Ovis aries: one gene and its partners. The protein of the gene in region 3 interacts with the protein of the main gene of each other region in a biochemical or structural test. Links are inferred from orthologs where the notes say so. Each region holds a gene or a part of one and is shown on either strand. Other genes may lie near its edges.

Region 1 (3,500 bases), on a different chromosome or scaffold from region 3:
ACGTCTAAAGGGCCCTTCCAGGTCTAAGATCTGTGGGTTCATAACACAGGTCTCTTGGTGCATTTCATTGTTTCCTAATTGGCTAAGACTTGAGGGCACAAACGCTGAAGATATTCAGCATTTCCGCTATTGGTAGATCAAAATCTGGTATGAAACAACAATGCATGTTTTCTGCAGACACACATTTATACATCTGCAAATGCTCAGAAAAGAGATGAAAAAGAGATGCCTCAAGGTGAAGAGAGTACTGAAAAACTTGGAGAGCAGGGGTGGGGTTTCCCCAGCAGTCCAGTGTTGAGACTCTGCACTTCCACTGCTAAGGGCCCAGTTTGATCCCTGGTCAGGAAACTATGATCCCTTAAGATGTGTGGCCAGAAAAAGAACAGGAAGAGGGTGCTGACTTCTGGGGGAGGGAGTGTGGGAAGGGACTGGAATTGGCAGGCGGAGGGTGAGTAGAACTTTATCTTTTATGTACTGTGTCCCATGTGAGAAGGAGGCCTTCTGGTTTCTCTCCCCATCTCCTCTGTTCCTGTCCTCCCAGCTGGCCTGGACTCCAGAGCACATGTAGGATTTTTTCCCCTTGTTCCCCAGAGCCCTCCATTAGTTGTCCTCAAAACACTCTTCCCCAAGGACCCCCGGGCCCTCCTATCTGGCCCAACTCGTGGAAGGGATAGGTTGAACTGAAGCTCCTCCCCCTTCTTTGTATATCAGTGAGGAAAGTGAGCCCCAGAGAGGGGCAGGGACTCAGGCAAGGTCACCAGGCAGCTCTGGGACAAGGAGAGGGGGAGGACGGATCCTCTGACCCAGGCTGTTTTCCCAGATGCAGGGTCCTTGCAGCCCCATCTGGAAGCCTCCCTCCAGGCCCCTTCCTTGCTCAGCCTGAGTCCAGATGTTCCCTACATCTCCCCTCCCCTTCAGGGTATGACTCAGATGGATCTCAGCCACGGAAAGAGCCTGGGAGAGAAGCTACAGGCAGTTTCCCAGCACTCAGGAGACCCCAGCCCCCCAGGATCACCCACAGGGTGGGCTGGACCGGGAGGGAGGGTTGAGCCTCCCAGAGGGGAGCAGCCCTGGGCATCCGGCGCAAGCAGAGCGGCCCTCCTCTTGACCTGCTCCAGGAGCGCACAGCAAAGGAAGGCGGGGGCGAGAGGGGCCGGTCCAGCTCGGCTGCAGACGGTCAGCCACCACCTGCAACTTCCGGGCACATTCCTTACTTTTTCCTTCCATTGTGAGAAACAGAGCACCACCCAGGGGGTGAGCTCCATGGGGGCAAGGGCCTACTTGGCAGTTCTGAGTACAGTTAAATCCCCTGCCTGGAATTGTGCTAGACATGTAATAGACACTCAATAAATGTTGGTTCACTGACCAACTCCTGGCCTATCCCACAGGGCATTTACACAGCACTTCCTAACTCATTTCAACATGGGGCAGGAGTGATCAAACCAGGAGCTTGCCATGGAGATGGGATGGGCACTGTGATTGTCTTAAGAACTTCCAGAGCCAGTTTGCCCCATTGGGGCCAGGTCTTAGGGCCTTGCTCCCCCACCTCAGCCTTGCCACCCCACGGAGTCCGGCGCTCCTTCCCAGCTCCTTCTACCTTGCTGAATGGATACCCAAGGCTGGCACTCATGGGGTTAAGGAGGGGTTTTCAGTTCTGATGGCTTTTGCCTCTTAGGCAGTAAGGAGGGATTGTCTCATGGTACCAAATCCTTTCTCCATCCTTTCTCCTACACCTATCCTCTCCGGTGGCAGCCCTTAGGCAAGCTATGGGCCTCCAGGGCTGGGAGCAGCAGAGGCCACTGAGAAGTCTTCTGACCACATCTAGAGCACCCAGCAGTCCTGGTGGCGACTGTCCACTCCAGGGCCAGGCTAGAGGCAGCTCCCCTCCGTGACCCTGAGGTTCTGGGGTCTTACCCGTCAATGGGGTGCTGGTCCAGCTGCCCGAACTGCCAGTGCACAGGGAAGATGTACATGTTGTAGTTCTTCTCGAAGTCCCGGGCCAGCAGTTCCACGGGATGGTCGCCAGCCTCCAGGCGCTTCTCATTCTCGTGGATCTTCTTCACCTGTGGGAGCAGAGATGCTGTGTGGCAGAGGGTCCGGGGAGGCTGTCGGGCCAGTCAAGGTTCCTTCCCCCCGACAGGAGGCCAGAGTAGGCAGAGACCAGCCAAAGTCAGGGCTCAGGATGAGGGAAGGGGGACTCCAGGGTTCAGAATGAGGGAAGGGGGTCCAGGGGTTAAGACTCTGTGCTTCCACTGCAGGAGGCGCAGGTTTGATCCCTGTCGGGGACCTAAGATCCCACATGCTGAGCAGTGTGGCCAGGAAAAAAAAAGACCAAATGAGGGAAGGAAGTGGTTAGATGAGTACCATCATTATCTCATCCACAGAAGTGGAGGCCTGGGGCCATCTCAATCAGAATAACTGTGGAGTGTGTCAAAATGCAGCTTCCTGGGCCTTCCTTCACAGAGACACTGGTTCATTGTGGCTAAGGTGGGGCCCAGGGAGCTGTATTTTATCAGTACTCCTAGTGCTTGATATGTTCCTTAAAGTCCACAGACTCAGAAAGAAAAAGGAATAGAATTGTTTATGTCTCGTGCTTAACATGGACCTAAACAAAGTGAGCAGGTCCGTTCATTCCGGGACCCCTCAGAGCCTTTAACGTGTACATGTGCTCTGCCTGCGTGCTGTCACTTCAGTCGTGTTTGACTCTTTTCAACGCTATGGACTATGTAGCCAGCCAGGTTCCTCTGTCCGTGGGATTCTCCAGGCAAGAATACTGGAGTGGGTTGCCATCCTTCCTCCAGGGGATCTTCCCAGCCCAGGGATTGAACCCGTGTCTCTTACATCTCCTGCACTGGCAGGTGGGTTCTCTACCACTACGCCACCTGGGAAGCCCCTGAATGTGCTCTAGGAGCCTCCAAAGGCCGCACGGAGGAGTCTGTGTCCTAGAGCCCGGGACAGAGGTGCTCGTTGGAGCAGGGATGTGGGCTTACATTTGGGGGCCTAGATCTGGGAATGGGACTGGGGATCTCAGCCAGCCTGGGGCCCGAGGTCAGGGCCAGCTCACGGTCGAGCAAGTGCCCTGAGACAGGACGAGAAAAGACCCTTACTCGCAGCTTCTGCTTCTCGGTCAGGAGGTTGTTGTCCTCGTCCCTCTCGTACAGCGTGACCAGGACGTTCTTCAGCCAGTCCCGCATGCGCAGGGGGAATTCAGTCAGCTCAGAGTCCAGGCAGGGGGGGATGTCTAGGGTCAACACAGGGGTGGTCAGCACAGACCCTGACTCCCTGCCCGAGGGCCAATGTGCTGGCCAGGTCGCTCTCCCCACCCCTGCCCTTCTCTTGCTACTTCTTCAGTCGGTGGCCTTGGCACCGGCTCAGCCTCTCGGGGCCACAGTTTCTTCATACCTTTTGAACAAAGGAGATTGGAGGGGGTGGGGGAAGAATACTCTGCAATTGGACAAGAGCAAAGGCACATCCCCTGTTCCCTCGACCTTGATCTCATC
Region 2 (3,500 bases), on a different chromosome or scaffold from region 3:
TTCATCTGGGGGCTGGGGGAGTTGCAGAGCCGGATCCTTGTGATCACACCATCTCCACATGTTACGGAACAAGATGACCACGGGGACCAGTGGCTCCAGCCTCCATCCTGTTTAACTAAAGGACAAAGCTGATGGTTATATGGTGCTTCCCACAAGCCAAGCTCTACATTAACACTTTAAATGCATCCTCTAAACCACATCTTCAAACTCGCCAAACTAAACATCTTTACACTATTTTTACCCCCAATTTACAGATAAGAGCCTCAGAGAGGAGAAGCTGTGCTCAAGGGTGCACAGATAAGGCAGAGAACTGGGATTAGATCAGAGTCTAGAACCTGTGCCCTCAACCTCTGTGCTCTGAAGTTGCTATTGGTGACAACAAGGACAAGTCAGGTCTCCACATCCCCAAGTGGCCCAACACTTACATCTCTTGTCACACTCCTGGATGTGGCAGGTCCGCGTCTGCACAGAGGAGCCCTCGCATCTGTTGTTGAGGCTGTCGCAGGAGCGGCCACGCTGCTGGATTCCATTGCCACAGGTCACAGAGCAAGAGGTCCACTCAGACCACGGGGACCAGCCATCGTCTGCAGAGTCGCTGGCTGCTGAGCAAATGGGTGCATTTAGTGTGTTATCATGAAAACAAGCTATTCTTTGGGCTGCTCTGCTCTGGACTTTCTTCCCATGCCAGAGAGTGAAAAGCAATATATTTGTTAGGCCAATGGCCAAGCGGTCATTCTGTGCACAGCTTTGGGGTAATTGCATGCTTTGCCTGGGTCGGTATAGCTGAACCTTTCCCCCACATATGTTTCTAGTCATCCTCGCCCCCTTCTTCCAAGTCTGCATTTTAAATGAGTTTCCCTTTTTTGACTTAAGATGTCTTGGTAGGCATTTCCAGCCCCAGGCTTCCAAGAATACTTGGGTTTTAGGCAACTTATAGGAATCACTTCTGACTTTCAGGAGAGTCAGAGACCCACATGTTTGGCAGATGAATCTGAAGGCAGCGGAGCCGCTGTTGGCTCTGGCCCTGGATCAGTCATGAGGTCAGTCAGCGGGTTGCTCCTCTCACCCTAGCATTTGGGGCCTTTTCTGCACATATTTTCATAAGAGGGAAGTGTGTTTGTTTACCATCTGCCCAGGCGCCATGACTACAATCACGTCCTGTATCTGACAGGAGATAGAGAACTTTGTTTTCTCTTGCCATCAGTTCGAAGTTTTCCTAGTAATCCCTGACTCAAAATTCAGCACTCTGCTAGTCCCTAGCTAGCCTTGTTCCCTTTAACCCACATCTGAAGTGAATGCTGAACAGAAAGCAATGTACAAATGATTATGACAGTTCCAATGTCACTGACATCTCTGAAGGGAACTGGCTCTTCTGAGCTATGATCCGTGTGTGTAGGAAACAGGGAGTGTGGGGGGCGTGGATGTGAAGGGGGAGTGCTACTTTCCTGTTTCATGCATCTTAGTTGTGATAAATCATCTTTATGACTTGTACTTACTACAGTGTCTCAGCAAAGTGATTAATTATACTGGCAGCAAAACCCAGGGACTGGGTACCATGAAACAATACAATTTCTTACAGAGCCCTGAGACTCAAAGTACTATTTTTTCTTAGGTCTCCTACGCCTGTAGATAAAATGGGTAGAACTTTCAGGCCCAGTTAAGTCCATCAATTTCTCCAGTGAGCAGATTTTTACTGACTCTAGGCCACAAGGTCAGATTCTAAATCCAGTTAACTTAAAGCTACTGCTGCTACCAATTCATCTCATCTTTTCTCAAAGCACAGAATCATACTCAATAAACTATACTAAGGTTATTGTCTACACCACAATTAGGGGGGTAATTTAGTCATAATGGCATTTTTTTGGTTGTATACAGCAGACAAGCCATCAGCTAACCAGATGCTGTAGCAAGAAACTGAATGAAAACATGTGACAGAGATGGGACTGGTATTCCAGCATTATGTACAATCAATCCAGTCACTGAAGCATGGCCAACAATCTTAGGAACTTACGCCAGCACCGTGGGCAGCATTCTCCATCAGGAACTGTGGCGTTGGAGCAGGGCATGATGGGACAGGACACTTTTTTGCAGATGGTAACTGAGTTCTGCAGGGCAACAGTGAAGGAGAAATGGGTACTAAGCATATTGCAAGCAGAAGCTTACATACTGAACCATTTCAATTACAAGCTGAAATGTCGTCTGGGCTATAAATGCTCTAGTGGAATGATTTTAATAGAAGCTCTGCCTGTCTTTTGGCAGCCACCAGTACTGTAGAGACAGTTCAAGGGCTGCTTACTTGTCACTCCATCCCTCTAGAATTCGTCTCAATTGCCACTTAGTCACTTCTTCATGCACAGAACAACATGAATTTATGCAGTTGGAACCACCTAATATCATGAGTCAGATCTGTTACTCTGTGTCTAAAATCAAATTCCTGAAACTCAGCCAGGACTTTAAAAATTTTAAATTACATCTTTATGGGGAAAAGAAGATCAATGAGCATCTTACTTTCTCATATATAAATATGGCTTTATATAATATTGGACAAAAATGGGAGTTTAGTAAAGGTGGCTCCCAAATCCGGCAATCCATGATTTGTATTTAAGCTTGACTTTGCTCAATGAGCCAGCAACACCCCCCCAAAATCCTCTGCCCCTGGCGTTGGGTAGGGGGTGAGCCAGAAGGACACATACACTACAGGCAGTACCATCTGAGGTAAGTGGATAGTTCTAATGATGTTGGGCCAAGTGATTTGAATAGCAATCAGTACTGTATTAAAGAATCTCCATGTCATAGCCAAATATGAATCAGGTTGTGGGGGGGGGGTTCCAACTTGATTTTACTTACCTGATATTCAACACTTAGCTCTTGAACTAAAGCAGGTAAGTTACCGAGATATTTAAATAGATATACTCTTTTAGATATTATTCTTAGCCTGGGGTATAATTAAGACTTTGAAAAACTCTGAGCATTTAAATGATTTTATAGATGTCATAGCTGCATCTTAAGAAAAAGACACCACTTGGGTATCCAGCCATGGAACATGAAAAGAGCCTCCGCAGCCATCTGGCTCTTTCTTCAGAGAGTGTGCCATCCATTTGTGTTTCAGTCCGTCGAGAGCCTTACCTGGCAGCGACACTCAGTGCAGCTGTCCACCGTCCACTCGTCACCAGTCCTGTACTGGACTCCGTTGTGGTAGCAGAGTGGGGGCCTCCTCAGCTCATTGGCCAGCTCTTTGTTCTCTTCGGTCTAAAAGGGGGAGAAAGGTTATTAGCATCGAGCCTCACTTTCAGTCCCTCAGCATCATCACCATCACATGCAGGGGCTCCTGCTAACAGGCGGTGGGTGGAGACTACTGACCACTTTGCGGATACTGTCCTGCAGCGTGGTCACAATGGTGCGTAGACCCCTGAGCTCTAGGACCATGCTGGACAGCTCGTCACATGAGATGCCACAAATGGCTTGCAGGTCCTTTGTCTTGTGGCCGATGTAGTCGGTGC
Region 3 (3,500 bases):
AGCTGGGGTGAGCACCTGGGAACAAACCCCCTTCCTTGGGGGAAACAGTGTACTGGCTGGGGAGGGGCCTTGAGGCTGAGCTGTGGCTCAACTTTTTTTTTTTTCCTAATAAACATTCCAAACTGAGTTTGGAGCAGAGGAAAGTTTACAGCAGGCCAAGCAAAGAGAATGGTGAGGAGGGTTCAGGTTCAAAAAATCCAAACTCCTATGGCTCAGTTTTTTCAGGAAGACCAAGGGCCAGACATCTTGCAAGTCCTCCTCTCTTCCCCTGCCTAGGTGAAGTCAAGTGTCCACCTGCAGATCCCCTGGCAAGTCTGGAGAGTCCCTGGCCTGAGCAGAAGCAGCAAGCCAGGCCCAGCGACTTACAGTCTCACCACGATCACCACTCTTGCCAGCAGGCCCAACAGGGCCAGGGGCACCGGGAGCACCAGGAGCACCAGGAGGTCCAGCAGGGCCGGTCTCACCACGGTCACCCTGAGAAGAGAGAGGGAAATCCAGTGAGCCGCAGCTGAAGCGGCCTGGTAGGAGTGGCTGTGGGGCTATGGTCCTGAGGCAGCCATCTCACCTTGGCGCCAGGAGCACCATCTCGTCCAGGGGATCCTTCAGCACCAGGAGCTCCCTGCAGGGGAGGCGGGGAGGTGAACATCAGTCAAGGAAAGGGAGCCTCAGGCCAAGGCCCAAAGGGCCACAGTGATGGCACTGGTGTGGGGCTGGCAACCATGTACCTCACGTCCAGACTCGCCAGGGGGTCCAGCCAATCCAGGGGGGCCCATGGGACCAGGGGGGCCACGTTCACCACTTGCTCCAGAAGGACCTTGTTTGCCGGGTTCACCCTGAGGGAGAAGAAAGAGTCAGGCCAGAGATGGGGTGGGAGAGGGCCTGATGGTCCCCCACATTTGCCCTTGCTGACCATACCACCCCCATCCTGCACCCTCCAAATCCTGCAAAGGCCCTGCCCCAAGGTAAGGGGGCACTCACAGAGGGGCCAGGAAGACCAGGGAAGCCTCTTTCTCCTCTCTGACCGGGCAGGCCGACCACACCACGCTGTCCAGCAATACCCTGAGGTCCAGGAGTGCCAGGAGCGCCCTGTGGTGGGGGTGCAGACAGGGGTGAGATGACTCCCAGTGGCCAGGGACGACACCCCCCAACTCTGGACCCCTCTGGAGGGGTCACTTACAGCAGGTCCGTCAGCACCAGGGGCTCCTTTCTCACCAGCGGGGCCAGGGGGACCAGGGGGACCAACTTCACCGGCACGCCCAGCGGGGCCAGTCTCACCACGGGGGCCTTTGCTGCCTTCTTTGCCAGCAGGGCCAGGAGGGCCAGGGGGTCCAGCATTTCCCTGGATGGGGAGAATTGCAACTGTCAGAGTCCAGCAGATTCTGGAGCATTCCTGAGGCCTCAGTCAGGCCCACCACACTCTTGACAGCCTGTGTCCCACACCTTCCCAGACCAGTGGAGTCTCCACCACGGACACTTACAGAGGGGCCAGGGGGACCGACTCGGCCAGCAGCACCTGGGAAACCAGTAGCACCCTGAAGAAGAGGACAAAGAAGTGATCAGAGGGAGAACACCCCCTCACCTGGCCCAGCTGCCCCACCTCCAAATGCTGCCTGGGGGAAACTTCAGCGGAGAGGCAGAGTGGGTACTCACAGGGGGACCAGCGCTGCCGCGAGCACCTTTGGGTCCAGGAGCACCAACGTTACCCTGGAGGAGAACACAGAGGCATCAAGGCTGGGCCGATCCTGGGTCCAGCCTGCTGGCAGCTTGGACCTAAGCAGTGAGATACTCACAATGGGGCCAGGGGGTCCAGCAGGTCCAGCAGGCCCGGGGGGCCCAGCATCACCTTTAGCACCAGCATCACCAGGTTCGCCTTTAGCACCAGGTTGGCCATCAGCACCCTGGGGGAGGAGGGAGCGTGGTGAGTGGAGGAGAGGTCTGTGCTCACCCAGGAAGTCAGCCTAGGGGGCACCGGAACTCCAGGCAGGAAGACGCTTTCAATGGGAGACAATCTCCCCTCCACCCGCCTGTAAACCCGGCCAACGCCTCTGTCCTCATCCAATCACCCAAGGCCCCAGGTCCTAGTTGGGGATGGAAGATAAAAAGGATCTTGGTACTCACAGGGGGGCCAGCGAAGCCAGCAGGGCCGGGGGGACCAGGCTCACCACGGTCACCCTAGAAGAGAAGGAGGCAAATTGGGAGAGGCCCTGATTCGGGGGAAGGCAGGTGAGGATGGACAGGAGGGTGGGGAGGAGGGCCTGAGGAGCACTGCCCAGGGACCAGAGCAAGTGGGAGCTAAGGTGAGAAGGGACAGAAAGAGAGCTGGGGGGCACATGGAGAGAAGTGCCAGGTACGGAGCCTTAACCAGGTCTTCTGTACTTACGGGGGCGCCACGAGCTCCAGTGGGACCGGCTGGGCCGCTAGGACCAGTTTCACCCTGAAAGGAAGGGACAAGAGGCTCAGGATCAGGGTGCCACGCTGAATACTCCTGCCCGATGACCCCAGGAGAGTCCTCCTCCCTCCTGGTCACCCCACCGTTGGGTTGCCAGGTTGGAGTGGCAGGAAATGCCTCCCTAGCAGAGCTGTGCCCAGGCTCACAAGGGAAGCTGTGTGTTAGGGAAGAAGGTGAGAAGGGGGCCATCTCACCTTGTCACCAGGGGCACCAGCAGGGCCAGGAGGACCGATGGGACCAGTCAGACCACGGACGCCATCTTTGCCAGGAGCACCATCAGCACCTTTGGGACCAGCATCCCCCTAAAGACACAGGAAAGCCTGAGACTTCTGGCGTGGGGCAAGGAGGTGACCTTCAGCATCCTGCTTGTGTCTGGGACCCCTCCCCAGCTTATGTTTGCCCTGCCCCGACATGTGCAAAGAACCTAAGAACTTCCAGGGGAAAGACGCCTGTGTGGGGATTCCCAGGAAAGACCTGGGTTCCATCCCTGGGTCAGCAAGATCCCCTGGAGAAGGAAACGGCAACCCACTCCAGTACTCTTGCCTGGGAAATCCCATGGATAGAGGAGCCTGGTGAGCTACAGTCCAGGGGTTGGAAAGAGTTGGACACAACTGAGCGACTAACACTTTAGGCTAAGAAGCTCCCAAATAAGAGATCCCTAGTCTAGGAGGCACCCACTCCTGCTTGTCGCCATGGTAACACATGGGAAGGGCAGGGCCTGAACTATAGGTAGATGATAACCAAGAGGCCAGAGAAGGATTAAGAAGAGGAAAACACCCGAGGGAGCAGAAAGAAAGATGCTGAGGGATTCAAAGCAGAGAGAGATGGGAGCTACACAAAGCTCGAGGGAGGGGGAGTTCCACTTACTCTGTCACCCTTAGGGCCTGGAAGGCCAGCTGCACCTCGTTCACCAGGCATTCCTTGAAGGCCAGGGGCACCCTGGCTACCAGGGGCTCCAGGGGCACCAGCATCACCCTATGTGACAACCGATAAGACTGGAGTGAGACTTGGGATCTCAGAACTAGGTCTAGGTCACAACTTTGAGCCTCGT

What was found. The genes of interacting proteins can lie anywhere in the genome.
Region 1: the proteins of COL1A1 (region 3) and SPARC form a complex in vitro, tested with the Homo sapiens proteins (2 studies listed by BioGRID). The link is inferred for Ovis aries from reciprocal best matches to the Homo sapiens genes COL1A1 and SPARC.
Region 2: the proteins of COL1A1 (region 3) and THBS1 form a complex in vitro, tested with the Homo sapiens proteins (2 studies listed by BioGRID). The link is inferred for Ovis aries from reciprocal best matches to the Homo sapiens genes COL1A1 and THBS1.

The regions. Positions count from the first base shown.
Region 1 is NC_056058.1:60,652,272-60,655,771, forward strand, and holds part of SPARC (SPARC precursor), read right to left. Parts: intron 3,242-3,500; coding exon 3,108-3,241; intron 2,064-3,107; coding exon 1,915-2,063; intron 1-1,914.
Region 2 is NC_056060.1:33,437,131-33,440,630, reverse strand, and holds part of THBS1 (thrombospondin-1), read right to left. Parts: coding exon 3,361-3,500; intron 3,250-3,360; coding exon 3,127-3,249; intron 2,106-3,126; coding exon 2,012-2,105; intron 603-2,011; coding exon 426-602; intron 116-425; coding exon 1-115. UniProt on the Homo sapiens protein: Adhesive glycoprotein that mediates cell-to-cell and cell-to-matrix interactions.
Region 3 is NC_056064.1:36,201,118-36,204,617, reverse strand, and holds part of COL1A1 (collagen alpha-1(I) chain), read right to left. Parts: intron 3,425-3,500; coding exon 3,317-3,424; intron 2,752-3,316; coding exon 2,644-2,751; intron 2,435-2,643; coding exon 2,381-2,434; intron 2,173-2,380; coding exon 2,119-2,172; intron 1,899-2,118; coding exon 1,791-1,898; intron 1,705-1,790; coding exon 1,651-1,704; intron 1,533-1,650; coding exon 1,479-1,532; intron 1,340-1,478; coding exon 1,178-1,339; intron 1,087-1,177; coding exon 979-1,086; intron 834-978; coding exon 726-833; intron 620-725; coding exon 566-619; intron 475-565; coding exon 367-474; intron 1-366. UniProt on the Homo sapiens protein: Type I collagen is a member of group I collagen (fibrillar forming collagen).